2 linked regions of the Elephas maximus indicus genome follow. The protein of the gene in region 2 purifies or fractionates together with the protein of the main gene of each other region. This does not show direct contact. Links are inferred from orthologs where the notes say so. Each region holds a gene or a part of one and is shown on either strand. Other genes may lie near its edges.

Region 1 (7,826 bases), on a different chromosome or scaffold from region 2:
TTTAGACTTTTTATATTAAATTGTTTTAACCTTCATACTACCAAATTAACATGGAAGACTTCCCGTTGTTTAGACTGTCCATGTACTCAAAAATGAAAATTCAAATCCCTTTTAAATATGCTTGACCGACCAAGGTTTAACACGTTAATGGAAAGGAGCACTCACATATAAATAATTAAATGTTGCTGGTACCTTGTCCATCCCGGCCTTTTCTTTTGACCATTAGCACTGGAGGGATGAGTCTCTTCATGGCATTTCCTCTTGCCATAGCTAGCAACCACCCTACTTTAGAGTGAGTGGTGAATCCTATGTGCCAATTTCCATGAGTAGATGAAAATTACTAGGGAATACCAAGCGAGGCAGAGAGATATCTTAATATTTAGGGTGAGCCAGTGAGCTCCTTGGGAAGACGGCCCTCATTTTAACACTGATACCCTTAATCAGAGACTCCTTGCTGTCCAGTCAATTCCGACTCATAGTGACGGTGGCGTAGTGGTTAAGTGCTATGGCTGCTAACGAAGGGGTCGGCAGTTCGAATCCGCCAGGCGCTGTTTGGAAACTCTATGGGGCAGTTCTACTCCGTCCTATAGGGTCGCTATGAGTCGGAATCGACTCGAGGGCACTGGGTACTGGTTTTGTTTTTTTACCCTTAATCAAAGGAAGAAAATGGCTAACTTGAAATGCCACTTGTCTTGTGGCAGTTAACAAGCCTTTCACATAATGCTAAAACATAGTGATAGTTAAATTTGACACATAACTAAAAAAATTCAGTGAAAGGCCATTTTACTTGTGGAGTATAGTTTTTCTTTGAATTGCAGCAAGACTGACTTTAATGTATGTATTTTTTTAACCAGGTTCCAATATCATTTGTGGATCGTGTTTATGGTGAATCCAAGTTGGGAGGAAATGAAATACTCTCTTTCTTGAAAGGATTATTGACTCTCTTTGCTACTACATAAAAGAATTCATGTATATTTATCATGTTCATTTCAATTAAAGCATTAAAGAAGCCTGGTTGATGATTTTTATAAAATGTACTCTCTTAGAGCGTAAATCCTAAGGTAAGGTGAATTTCATGTAAATCTTTTTTTCTGAAGAAATTCCACCACTTAATATTTCAAATTGAATTATCAAAATGAGCAGTTTTCTCAATTTTCATTTTACTGTTACGACCTATAAATAGATGTATATGGTTTTCTTTTGCATAAAATATTGCTACTTTCATTAGAGTATGTGAACGCAGAATATCTTATATGGGGAAGAGTTTAAAATATTCTTTATAAGAACTGAATTATAGCTCTTTGTACCTAACATACATCAGAAGAGAAATGTTAATTATATTCATGAAATGTAAATGGCCGTTTCTGTATGAACTGGAAAAAAAAAATACACACTTTTGCCCTTTGCTCAAAAATGTATCTCATATTTCTTAAACCAGCTAAAACAATACATTTAGAATAAAATTTTAGGGTTTTGGTTCTTTGCAGTTATTGAACTGATGAAATATTTCTTCTACTAAAGCAGGTCTAAGTATGTATTGTGAATTGGAAACGGCATGGTGGCAGTTGATTGCACGGCTGGGTTCCCCCCCCCCCCCCCCCCCGCTTCTAAGCAATAACCTCTATAAGTAAGGAAAAATATTGAAAGCACTGAGGCACAAAATATCTTACTGAATTACTTTTATAAAGATTTTTCTCTCAAAATATTTGTTTTTATATTATTTCAAGACCCTCACCAAAGCACTTATCTTTTCTACTATGCAAAAAAAAAAATCCCTTCCCTATAGCTCTTCTCTCCATTCAGAAGGTTGTTCTGCCAGTTAAAACACAGGTTGTTTAATAAAGCCCAGTGCACATGTTCTCTTCACTTACCTTCTCTAAAGGTAGGTATTTCAAAAAAGGTCAGTTTCTAATGGTACCACAGATTTTGGAACCTGCTGTAGGTTTTAAAGTTTGGATGGATAAGACACACCTTGAGCAAATAAGGTTAAGATCAGGTTGATTCAACTTTGCAAGTAAAAGGAAGAGATGTCTCTAAGTTTTCTAATAATCCTATCGAGTGAACAGTATTCTTAATTACTGCATTTTCCAGGTTTAATTTGGCTGCCCAAGAAATTTAAAAGTCTGAGTTGTCATTTGCATTTCTCTCAAAACAGATCCTACCAGAAATGAATGCCAGACTATGAATTCTTTGGTGTCATTTTTAACATTAAAATCCCCTCCCTCCCCATAGTTGATTGCATAGTACACATTCCAGTAAGGGCCACTATTTCCCTTTTGCCCAGAGCTATTCAGCTGACCCACCGGGGGACCCACCTTTCTTTCAGAAATGATTCCTCTCATGGGAATCTCCTTAAAAAACCAAAAACCCAGTGCCCTCCACTAGGAAATTCATCAGTGTTTGATGTAAACTCTTTAGTCTTAAGCTAACAATAGAAATGTAAATATTCTCAATGATTTTCAGTGTTACTCTGTTCCAAATCTATTCTTTCTAACCTAAATGCAAAGTTAAGTTTTCAGTATCCAGTGTGTGGAAGAGATTAAGTTAACTACCTCAGAAAACCCACAGTATAGTATTGCCTTTCATACCTCACTAGAGTAGGTAACTTTTGTCTTTTTAACCTTTTCAGTTCTTACTCCCACAATTATTACAGTGTCATCACCATTGGGATTTATTGTAAAGAAAGTTTTTGAGCAGTCATTTAGAAAAGAATCTGGACTATTTAGATGCAAGTTTGTAGTAAATCTGATGACTTACATACTGGGAAAATGTCTAAAACACATCTGAATCCAGCATCCCTTTTTGCTTTATAAATGAGGTCAAGGATGAAACCCTGATGTTTTCTATTTGTATGGTCACAGTATGAAATCTAAGCATATCTAAGAAAAACTAAAGATAAAATTTGTATTAACTTTTGCCTGTCTTCTGCTATGTGTAATCCATTCTTCATCTTTGTTCCTCTTAATGAAATGCTTTGCCACCACCCCCCCTTTTTCTTAATGTTTTTCAGCCATTGTTTTCAAGTACTTACTTGGTTTGCATAGATAGGTTTTATCAAAATTTCAGAAATTAATGGAATACTGTAGTAAATAAAAGACTTCGTTAAACTAGCTAACCATAGTCTTAGACAAAGGTCTAACTACAGTTTTATATTATCAATTCAGATTCTTTTGAGATGTTAAGTATGGTTTGAGAAATAGCAAGACAAGTGTAACAGCACATACTAAGAAGCTGTTATTCCTTCCCCGTTGGTATTTACTTTTCAATATGCGTAACCAAAGATACGCTCTCAGATGTACTCGACTATAAAAGGTGGCATCAAAAATGTTGATAGTGTATTGGTTGGGGTTGGCCTAAATTTCCATAGGCAAAACTGCGCGGTATCATGCTATCCAGATGGAGAGCACAAAGTCATTGTGCCCAGGAGCACAAACTGTAGTTTTCAAGGATCTTGTGGAGGCCCATGCCAACGGCTTCACTAGTCCAGCGGCCTCAGACACTGGAGATTCCATTTGTTTTCTTCAGGCCAAAAAGAGACCATCACTGTGACTTGGAAAGAATGGCAAGTCCCAGGACAACAGCCAACCTTCTGTAAAAATAAGCCCCCATCTACGAAAAACCCCACCCCAGCAGGAAGGGGTCGGGCCATCCATGGGGTTGTGGTTCATCTCAAGTCGTGTGCAACAGGCCCTCACACCTCATTTAAGGCAGGAGGCGTCAGGCACCGCCAGCCAGGTGCCCTGCTGCTTCCCGCCGCTGCCCGTCCTGTAGGCGTGGGGCCTCCGAGCACGTGGAGCCGCCCCGGGGCTGCCCCGCACACCCCCCTCCCACTAGATGTAGTCCAGGCTCTGCTGGGCCCGCGCAGGGATTCCCAACACGGCCACCTGACTGAGTGCTGGGAGTGCTGCGGCCCGCTGCTTCTGCCTCCGCCGCCGGCGCTGCGGCCAGAGGAAGGCGCCCGCCGTGCACAGGGGCCCTGGAAGCGCACTGCGGCCATTATCCACGGCGCCTCCTAGTGGGTCAATGGCAGATTCTCTTGGTTCTCGCGATAGCTCCCTCTCAGTGGGATTATATAATCCCCCTCAGGCAGGGTCGGGGAGTGCTAGTGGCACCCTCCCTCAGAAAAAGTTAGGAGCAAGAATTGGTGGGAGTAAGGGAGCGATCCCCGGAGCTTCGGGGTAAAAGGGTACTATTCCCCACTGCCCCCCCCCCACTTGGCTGGACAATGAGTCCTCTTATTCTAATGAGGCACTTACGTCACTTCCGCTCTTTCTCGGCCGCCATTTTGGCTAGGGCAGGTTCGGGGACTCGCTCCGAGGCGCTTGTATTGTCTGCTGAGGGGAGACGCGGGATCAGCCCCCTCCCCCGCCCGTTGCCGCCGCCGCCTCCACCGGCCCGGTCTCCCCTCCGCCGCCCGCCGGGATCCATGAGCTGAACTCCCACCCCCCGGTCGCCGCCATCTTGTGCCCCTCCCCCTCCCGCAGGCAGCGCTAAGGGGGATTTTGGCGTCTCCTCAGGCACAGCTCCCTCTCTCGGTCCCCGCTGCTGAGGAGCGAGAGGAGCGCGGCCGCCGCCAGCCTGCCCGCGCCGGTGAAGCCGCCTCTCCCCACACCCTCCGTCTCCTCCCTCCGCCCCTCCTTTGTCTGCACCGCTCGACGACGCTGCCGCCGCCGCCCGCGCGGGGACTGGAGGGAGCCGCTCGCGCCGCCGCCGCCGCCGCCGCCCGCCGCTCTGCTGCGCCCACCGCGCCCCCCGGCAGCAGCCGCGGCCGCGGCGCGAGCCGGAGCCCGCCGAGCCGGAGCGCAGCGAGGCCCTGGGCGCGCCCTCGCCGCCGCCACAGCCGTGCCGCCGCCATCCGCCCGCCGCCGCCGCCCGGCCCCCGAGCACGCCGGCCCCGCGCGCGCCTCGAGGCAGAGCCAAGGTAAGCCCCGCGCGGCCCTGCGCGCCCGGCCCGGCCCGGCCCGTCGCCCCTCGGGCCGCCCCGCCGAGCGCGGCCCTGCGGCGCGGGGCGCAGTATTGTTTGGATCCCCAGCCCTCCAACCACACACGGGCTCCTTTGCATACTCCCCGACTGATGGCCCGCCCGGCCCGCGCCGACCGCTATCCGGGCGCTGCTCCGGGGTCCAGGCGCCTCCTCCTGCAGCCCGACCCCCTTCTCCGCCCCGTGAGCCCGCCGAGGCCAGCAGCCGGCCTGGTCCCCCGAGCTTTTGCAGCTAATCCTGTGTTCGTCCACCCCGCCCCCAGCAAGAAGCGATCTTCTCCCATCTCTGGAACTAATTCCTCCCTCACCAACCGAGCCCCCCACGCACACCCCCAGTGCCCGGAACGAACCTTCTGCCAGGTCTGCCCACCCTGAGCTGGGGGAGGGGGCATTGGGTTGGGGGCGGGTAGCATGCATGGCACGGAGTAAAAAAGTCTTTGCCTATCCTGTGCAATTCTCTGTCCCCACCATTCCAGCTCCCGTCCTATCCTAACCAGAGTGCACCAGCACCCCTTTTTTCCAGTTCCAGATGCCTGGTCACCACGATCTCTTACAAGCATGCTAAGCCCCAACTTTAAATAAGTTAATGAAAAATAGAATGCCCTAAAGCAGCGAAAAGATGTTTATAATGCAATGAATGGGGAGTAGTTGCTTGAGCACTCTTTTCACCTCTTCTCTCCTCTGGGCTGCCTGCCTCCCTTCCCCTCCCCCTCAACCTGGATGTCTGTCTGCTGGAAAAGGCGCGATTGCTCCTCTTCCTCTTCTGCCCAAGACCAAGCTCTAAGGTCTTAGATCCCTTTTGGCCACACACCTACCCACACTAAGTTTTCTTGATGTTCTTGCGTTCACCAATTCCTCTGGATAGTTCTTCCCATAACCCCATTTCTCAGACAAAGGCTTAGGAGGGAAAAAAGAACCAAACTGCTTCCTGTGTTTGCCATTTTAATGCTGTCCATCCCCACACACCCAGTCCCCATCTGTGATGCTTCTCGAGCCTGTGTCTTGAACCTTCAAGATGAGAAGAAAAAAAAATCTCTTGGGTAGCTTGATACAGTTTCTTTATAAATCTGCATTGTTGCTTCTGGTTTATGGCCATGAAGAAAATACCAGCCCCCACCCAAAATGCACCGCAGCCAAGTCGGCTAAAGGCGATGAGTGTTGGAGTCAGTAGGGGGCGCATTCTCTGCACTGGGTAAGGCTGCAGAGGGGGGAAGGGCCCCACAGTTAGAACAGGATGTGCTTCACAGCGCCTTCTACAGACCATGGGAAAATGGGCCCAGCAAGACACACACACACACTCTTAGTTGGTGAGCTGACAGCAACATGGCGAAGGAGTGAGTCAAGAGCAGTGATTTTATTTCTTTTAAAGAATCCACCCTGCATTTTAGAAGTTTTCTCATTTTATTTGTTCAAAACTGTTGACCCTCAGACAGTCCATGTTTGTTCTTGACAAGTCGCCTTGGCACATCCTTGGTATACAGATTTCACCTTCTGTGGAATTCTTCCACCTTTAACTTTGAACGTGTCACCATTTCTTTTCCAAGGTCATGTAGAAAAGGAGAAGGTTTAAAACCTGAGAGTAAGGAGTTTGTGGCATTGTGAATTATCCTGCTTCTTCTTAGTCCAAATCTTTCCAACTCTTTGAGAGTTAAAATCATTCTTGAGGGATGTTAGACTTCAGTGGAGCAGTGATTTTCATGATGGGTGTCATGATCTGCAAAGCCTTGTTGGTTAGCATAAAGCCCATGTTGAGGTCTTCATTGTCAAACTCAACAGAGTTGAGTGTAAAATTTCGGTTCTTTCCAACTTTGAACTCTTTGTCATCATTATCTCCGTAGCCAACCACCGTTGGAAAAGAATTGACACCAGTCTTCTCTGTGAGCACCCACCTTCTTGGGGTGTGTTGATTTCTGTAGATTTTACTTCTGTTGTTATTTCCATAGGTGTGAGATGAACAGTGCAAAACCTAGGCCCCAGCTTTTGTACCATGATGCACACAGGGTTGTATTTGTTGTAGTGAACTGATAGGTGGCCTAGTGGTTATGCCCTGTACTACCATTTTAAGGATCTGGACTCCATTGCCTGCTTTGCTCTTTGGACCACATTGTCAGTTCACACCGGTGGGTATACTCATTTTGGAGGGTGGGAAGGAACTGCAGCAACAGGGAAGCTAGAGACTTCTCCCTTCTTGGTCACCACCAAAGCCAGTGCTTTCTCGATTTCAGCCTAGCCACATTACTCAAGGAACCTGGTTAGGGGTGGTTGCAGTAGTGGGCTTATAGAATAGAGAAATGACTTACGGCTTTTTTAAGAGAAACATTTTAAGTTGACAATTTTAATTAATTACATTCTGCACTCTTGTGTATATGTGTGTTAAGTACTCACTGTTATTTGATGGCCTAGTCTCAAGCGTTGGTAGACTTCAAAGAACTTTCAAAGATTTCCCTGCCCAGAGCAGGCCTTTCCATGAACTTGTTTTGGCTACCAAAGATTGACGGTTGTTGATACTAAGGAGTACTTTCAAGACTTGGTTACATGTCTCTAACGTAGATCCACAGAAATAAATTTATGGAAAATGGATTGGATTTACTCTTTGATACATAGGTAACCGGTTGGTGCTTAAGAGAGAATTCTTTTAGGACATTTGCTACCAAGTAACAGTGAGTGAAAAAGAGGTAGCCTGATTTGGGTATTTCATAAAATCACATGGTATTATTTGTAATTTTTAAAATACTGCTTAGTATTTTTAAAAAAGATTTGATTCTGACCTGATTTGGTCTCTGATAATACAGTTACACAAGTTTTAAAAATGAGTAATTTGAAGACAATGTACCTGAGGATATGT
Region 2 (6,850 bases):
AGGTGACTTATGCTCAACAAAGTAGAGGGAACTGACACATGGGGGGAATGCTTCCCTGACATACCTGCTTCCTCCTCCTCCTCTTCATTGTTCCCCTGACCTTCCTGCATCTGTTCCAGATCCTCCTCCTCTTCAGAATCTGTAACCTCCTCCTCTTCTTCCTCCTCTTCTTCTTCTTCCTCCTCCTCTTCTTCTTCCTCTTCCTCCTCCTCATCACTTTCCTCATCTTCTTCCTCATCTGTCTCAGCCTTGGAGGTGGTAGGACACTCCTGGGATGCTATTCCACTAGGGCCCTAGAGGACAAAGGAGTTTCTCTAAGAAATCCCTTGCTCCAGAGTCCAGCCCTTGCTTTCTTTCTGCACATTCCCCCAGCAGTCACCCCAGACTCCCTGGAGGCCAGTGCAGGGGAAGGACATGGCCTCTCTGAAGGAGGTATCCCTCTCATACCTCACCAGAATCTGAGGAGGCTCTGGGGGGTTCTGCAGGGTGGCCAGAGGTGCCTTTGAGCCGAGCCCTTCTCTTCTGTCTCTCACCCTCCTCACTCTGATCTTGCATCATTGCATATTTGGTGATGACCTCATCCAGCCGGCTCATGGCCAAGCTCCGGTTTTCCCGAAGGCGCCGAGCCAGGATGGGATCCAACAGTGCAGGGTCAATGCCTATGTGGGAAGATATAAAGTCAGAGCATTCAGCCCAAACTCTAGAAGGAGAGACTAAAGGGATGCCCCTCTGCCACACACCTGATGGGTTGCTGATGGGCATCCTGCAAACTCCCTACCTGGCCTATAGTCATCTGTGAGGTGGCAGCCAAAGTTGTAGATGAGATCAAGGTGGCGTCGTTCCTGTAGCCTGATGCCCACATCTCGGAAGGCATCCTGAGCCATGAGCTGGAGCTGCTGCCGAGGGAGGCCGAGGCTGTGTCGAGCAGCTGCCTTCTCTACGGCCCGCAGCACATCTCTATAGTCAGGGAAGGTATCAGGCCCTGGCTTGTTGATAAGCCGCTCAATGCGCCTGTTAACCTCTGGGTAGCGGGTTCCACGGTAGGGGATGCGCTGCTCTATAACACGGCCGGTCAGTGAAGAGCAGTCTTTCAGCTCACACAGGCGCCCAAAGAGGCGGATCAGCTTACGCTTCAACCGTGCCTCCTGTAGGTATGTGGAATCCGGGTCATCCAGTTCTGAGAGATCCAGCTCCTTCTCCTGCAGCCTCCGTATCTCTGCCACATAGAGGGCCAGTAGCTGCTCCAAGTGCTGGATCTGCCGCCGAGAACCACGGGTCCTTGGGGCCTCAGAGGCAGTGGTCTCAGCATTTGTGGAGTCTAAGGGGGGGTCTGTGGGAGGGTTATTTCCAGAGGGCTCACTGGAGGTGGTGGCAGCAGGTGACAGGTTCAGCTTCTTCTTGGCTGAGTGGGCCTTGAGAACAGTGCAGAGCTCGTTGATGTAGACATAGAGCTTAGCTGGCCGGCTCCGGGCCCGAGATAGGACCCGAGAGAGGATGTTGCAAAACTCCGCCGAGGCCAAAAACAGAGAATGGGCTCGCTGCTGGCGGTTATAGAGGAATGGGACCACCTCAGGGTGCTCTGCCGTCTGCATCTTACACAGTTTAAGGAACTGGACAGTTCAGAGGAAGAAAGGAGAGGAAAAGAGACAAGGGAGATGGTTGAGAGGAAGGTGAGGTGGGGTTAGCAGGGAAGAAAGGACAGGAGAGCCAGTCAGCCCTCCCCCTCCCTAGAGTACAAGAATCTCCTCCCTTAAAGCTCACCTCTTCAAACAGCTTCTCATTCTCCAACTTGTAGCATTTCTTGCTGCCCGAACTACTGCTTCCTTCGGACACACAGGGCTCAGAGGGGCCAGGGGCTTCTGCCCTGGGCGAGGCCGGATTGGGGGGTGGGTGGGAGGGCCCTGGCTGAGCAGCTGCTTCATCTTCGTCATCATCATCCAGCACGATGATGTTGTTATCGGTGGCCATGGGGGATCAAATCCCCCGGAGGGAGGAAGTGGTGGGGATTTCAGAAATCCTGCTGGAAGGGGATGGGGCCTCAGAAAGAGCCCCTCCAGCATAGCCCCATCCCTTCATCTCACACATTTTCCAATCTCCTTGGGTTTCAGTAATACCCAGCTCTGCCCAACAGTGTCTTCACTGACTATCATCAGCAACCATTAGTTACATATACTTTTCGGGCCCTGCACCTGGGAGGGGGATCCCCAACCACCTACAAACAGTAAGTTCCTATCTCCAGCTCCACCCCTCAGATCGATTTCCGGTCTTTCTGTTTCGTTTATCCAAGGTTTCTCACAGTTGGCAAGTTGATCCTTCCTCCCAGGACAGTTTACCACACTGCATCTTATTTCTTTGACACCCTCTTGCACAGATGCTACATCACTGTTGGCACACCCCACGTTTTCCCCCTTTCGCCCTCAACCACGTCAAACCTGCACCCCCCACCCCATCCTGAATGATCACCCCAACTCCTACACTCTCTGTGGAGGAACAGGTTCTCTCCCAACAGCCCATTCTCCTTTCTTCTCCTTGAATTATTCCCATATTCCACCGTCTAATAGGTCCCTTCAAACCGGGGCTTTAAAAAAAAAAATTAGGTTGGAGATATTTTACCTCGAATCCCCTCCCTCTCACCCCACCCTAATTTTCCCTTTTTTCTCCGTTGACCCGTAACCGCTCGTGAGCCCCTGACTGGGCTCTCTTGATTCCTCTTCAATCCCAATCCTGGGTCCGGCCCCCTTCCCCAGGTGAGCTTCCCGCCAAATCCCCCCTCCCCCCGCAGTTCAGCCCCCGGCCGCTCTCTCCCCTTCAGGAATAGGAGGTACCACAGTTTGCTCTCGAGCTCAGCTCTCGGGTCTCCACAATACCTCTCCCTCGATATCCCCACCCTGTCTGCCCGCACCGTCCAGCGCCCACCTCAGAAACGGTCTCTCGAGGCGACCCTCACCGCTGATCTCAGAACCTCGCATGCTTCTCTCCGCCTTCCTTCCCCCTCCCACCGCAGTCCCTACTCAGGACCGGAAGCCGCAGAGTTTCCGCTTACATGCACCTAGGCGCAGCCATCTTATGATACGGAACGTTGTCCTGTGGCCGGAAGTGATGTAGTCCCGCCCCTCGAGTATCTCCAGTAGTCTGCGGCGCCCTATCCCCTAACCTGTAGGGGGCGTGGTTTGTCCCTTCAAGGAGTGCGAAGCACCCGGGGATCGCCATTTTGCCGTACGGCGTTGTCTCAGTCCGGACTTATGCGCGAAGCCAGTGAGGCTCTTTTCACCCGGTGCTTCTGCGATTCCGCCAATCAGAAACTTCTTGCACTGAGCGCAACCGCCGGTGAATCGCGTGCAGGGAGGATTGAGCCACTTTTCCAATTGGGCGGGGGGGGAACGGAACAGGACAGATAAGGAGTTGGGTTCCCCAAGGCTGTGGAAGGTTTCATAGAAGAGTGAGAATCTCTTAAGAGGAAAAAAAATCCTTTCCTTCCGCTGGGCTATTGACAAACCTTCCGGCCCAGATTTCCTATCTCCCAGGTGTTGGTTTGCAAAGCTTAAGCAACTGCGTCCGCCCCTTTTCTTCCGACGGCTGCACGCCCCTTGCTGCTACCCTCCATCTAGCTCTACATCTAGATGCCTCCATCTCCCCATCGTGAAATCATAACACATGCACACGAAGAAGCACAACGCGCTACACAAATGCGTTATTATTATTGCCACTGTTGATTTGCTTTTCACCCATCACCACGTAACGATCAATCAAGCAGATGGGACCTGGGTTGTTTTCTGTTCTTCTCGAGAGGGGTTCCCCGACGCGCAGGAGGCGCTGACCAGGAGGCTGTGCTTCGTAGAGGAGTCCAGCGCCTAAGGACCGGCGATGGGGCAAGGGTTTTAAGAATCTGATCAAATTGCCACTGTAAGGGTATGAGACAAAATGAGAAATGAGTCTCGTGAAGTACCTGGGGTCTCGTCTCCTCTTCCTGTGGGATTGCTGTGGAAAGAAGGAAGGAGGAAGAAACTGATTGTGATGCCTGTCTCACCCGCACCCCTTCGGCCAGCTTTAGTGGGGCTAGAGGGACTCGTCAAGGCAGGGGCAAAGTCCAGAGGTGAGCTCATGTGCAAACCCAAAAGATTAACACGACTCCAGTCTCTGAGATTTTCACCTCCTGCATCCTGTGCATTCCATAAGTAGCGAGCATCTTCCCACTTTCTAGTACCACCCTTACATCCCCCACATCTTTGGAATCCCAGAACATCAAACCTTCCCTCCCATTAAAGAATTCCACACCACTTCTCTCCAGTTCTCTAAGCCTAAGTCTTCAAATTGAGACCATGAAGACACTCCAAAGGGTACCTGAGCATGGGCGTTTTACTGGATCTAATTTCCAGATCCTCACCTTTCCCAAAATTGTTTTCCTGAGTAAGCACCGGCAGTACAGGTTCTCTTTCTTCCCTTCCCCTTTTACAATGGACTTCCTCCCTCTTAAAAAAAGAAGAGTATAGCTCTCAACCATAAAATCTCTGTGGTAATCTTTTTTTTTTTTAGTTAATCTTACCTTGTCTCAAAGAGACAAAGAGCCTATTCCTTTCATCCAAAAAACCAAACCAAACCCTTTGCGGTTGAGTCAATTCCGACTCATAGCGACCCTCTAGAAATGGAGCAGAACTGCTCCATAGGGTTTCCAAGGAGTGGCTGGTGGATTCAAACTGCTCACCTTTTGGCTAGCACCCCAACTCTTAACCACTATTTCACCTGGGCTCCATCAAGTCACTATGATATCTCAATTCAATTTGACATTCAAAAGGGTGATTTAACTATTTTATTTTAAAATGTGAACATTATTAATATGCCAAGATTGATTTCAATTCTTGAAGCAACCTTAATTTATGATGAAAAATTTTAGATGCCACTTAAAAATGAGAGATTACATACGTTTTCAAAATTATTTCATAATTATTTATTCTCAAAATTACTTCAAGGAAATTAAGATTGCTTCTCTAAGCTATATAAATGTCCCCTCCACAACCCCCAACAGTCCCATTTCCCTCCTGTCTCCCCTCTCACCTCTGTGGCAGGGAGAGAGAATGCTTCTAGGAAAGATGGTCACAATTCCAGCTCTTGCTCCTTCTGAGGTGTTTGCAGGAGCCAGTCCCCAAACTTTGCCCATGGTAGCAGCCACAGCAGCTTATAGGCAGCCTGCAGCATCAGCAGTGTCAGGAGGAGGACCAGGAAGATAAAGAAGGCCTTGTCCAAGGTCTGACGAAGGGGACCCCTGGGAGGAGAGGGACCATGGGCAAACACCAGGAACACATCGTCCTCGTCCACATTGCCTTCCTCTGCCATCCTGAACCCCAGTCTGACAGCTGGCTGGATCAGGGAGGTTGGCATGGAAGCCTTGCTCAGCACTGCCAGGATTAAGGGGTGTGGTGCTTGCAAGTCCTGCACCTGTCTTGACCCTAATTCCCCCACTCAAGAGAGATAAGAGAGCCTTTGGAGCAATCATTTAATTACCCAGTATAAAGCGAATGGTCTGGACTAAACAATCCCTAAAATCCTGTCCAGTTTTACCACTTTATGATTCTGTGATTTGGAATCATTAGGCCCAACATAGAGACAAACAAACTGGAACAAGCAGGCAGCCCAACTGTCCACATTCTGGGTCTTTAAGGTCAAGGCTCAAGGTCTGGGGACCCTATAGAGAAAGGGTGAGCAAGTGGACCTTGTGTGCTACTGTGAGCTGCTGTCCGTCAAGGAGGGGGCTGGGCCTTTTATTTTTCAGTTGGCCGTTAAAGTCCCTTTGGGTTTGACAGCGGGTGGCTGGCTGGGTGGGGGCCTCTCCTGAGGGGGTTGGGGACAAGTAGCCGAGTGCCCGGGGTCTACAGTCAGCTCAGGCATAGTTCTCCCGCCCCACCCCCACCCCGCCCCGCCCCACCCCCACCCCACCCCCACTCACGTCTGCCTTTGGCTGAGATTGGACGTTATAACCTAGACCTTTTGGAATTTTGGGAGAGGCGGATTATAATTGGACATCGTGAGCTCAAGGGGTGGTCATAAAAAGAGAAAGATTTTGATTGGTCGGTGGGTCCAAGCGGGGTAGTTGCGAACTACTGGGGCAAATACAAGCCAAGGAGTTGCCTTTTAGTCTAAAAAAAGCATGGCCACGCCACGTGTGTCAGAGTAACTGCTCCATAAGGTTTTCAGTGGCTGATTTCTCAAAGAGATTACCACGTCTCTCTTCCAAGGCGCCTCTCGGTGGACATAAACCGCCAACCTTTCTGCTGGCTAAGCATGTTAAAGTTTGCACAACCCAGGAACTCCAGGGCAAAAATAAGATGTGAGGTTTGAGAGGGATAGAGATGTCGTTTTCTTGTAGGATTTTGTCTTAAACATAAAGAAATGCTCGGGTTTGCCATGCATAAATTCCTTTAGTTTATTGCAAGGTAGTCATGGCAAGGCACGCACTGAAGTCTTCCATTTTAGAACCCAAGAATAAGAATTGACAATTACAATTACAGTGTTAGTTCAGTAGTTAGAGTCCCAATCTTTAGACTTAAAGCGTTTACCTTTTACAAGAGGTTCTCGGGAGGAAGACTGACCATGGCTGGAACTTGGTGGAGCTCCCGCATAGCTAGGGTCCGAGGTCTGTAGCGGTGGGTAGCCTGCAAGCTCTCATAGTCTTCGGAGAAAGTCAGAGACTAAAGAGATACTTTGCCTCTGCCTGCCTCTCAGAGCATGAGCCGAGATCCAGTGTATACATGTAATTTTTAATTTGACCTTGCACAATAAGGATTAGGTGATGTCATGTTTAACAGAGACTAGTATGTCACCTTTTTTTTCTTCAAGGTCAAAGATTTGGTGGTTG

Evidence for each region. The genes of interacting proteins can lie anywhere in the genome.
Region 1: the proteins of DAXX (region 2) and ADNP purify together in Homo sapiens (affinity purification with mass spectrometry; 4 studies listed by BioGRID and IntAct, with this or other methods). This does not show direct contact. The link is inferred for Elephas maximus indicus from reciprocal best matches to the Homo sapiens genes DAXX and ADNP.

The regions. Positions count from the first base shown.
Region 1 is NC_064843.1:18,763,694-18,771,519, forward strand, and holds the start of ADNP (activity-dependent neuroprotector homeobox protein), read left to right. Parts: upstream 1-4,816; 5' UTR 4,817-4,921; intron 4,922-7,826. Other genes in the region: DPM1 (dolichol-phosphate mannosyltransferase subunit 1), read left to right, coding at 855-959.
Region 2 is NC_064819.1:96,114,966-96,121,815, forward strand, and holds the start of DAXX (death domain-associated protein 6), read right to left. Parts: upstream 3,017-6,850; 5' UTR 2,917-3,016; intron 2,021-2,916; 5' UTR 1,969-2,020; coding exon 1,762-1,968; intron 1,611-1,761; coding exon 779-1,610; intron 660-778; coding exon 448-659; intron 294-447; coding exon 65-293; intron 1-64. Other genes in the region: SMIM40 (small integral membrane protein 40), read right to left, coding at 5,092-5,331. UniProt on the Homo sapiens protein: Transcription corepressor known to repress transcriptional potential of several sumoylated transcription factors. Down-regulates basal and activated transcription.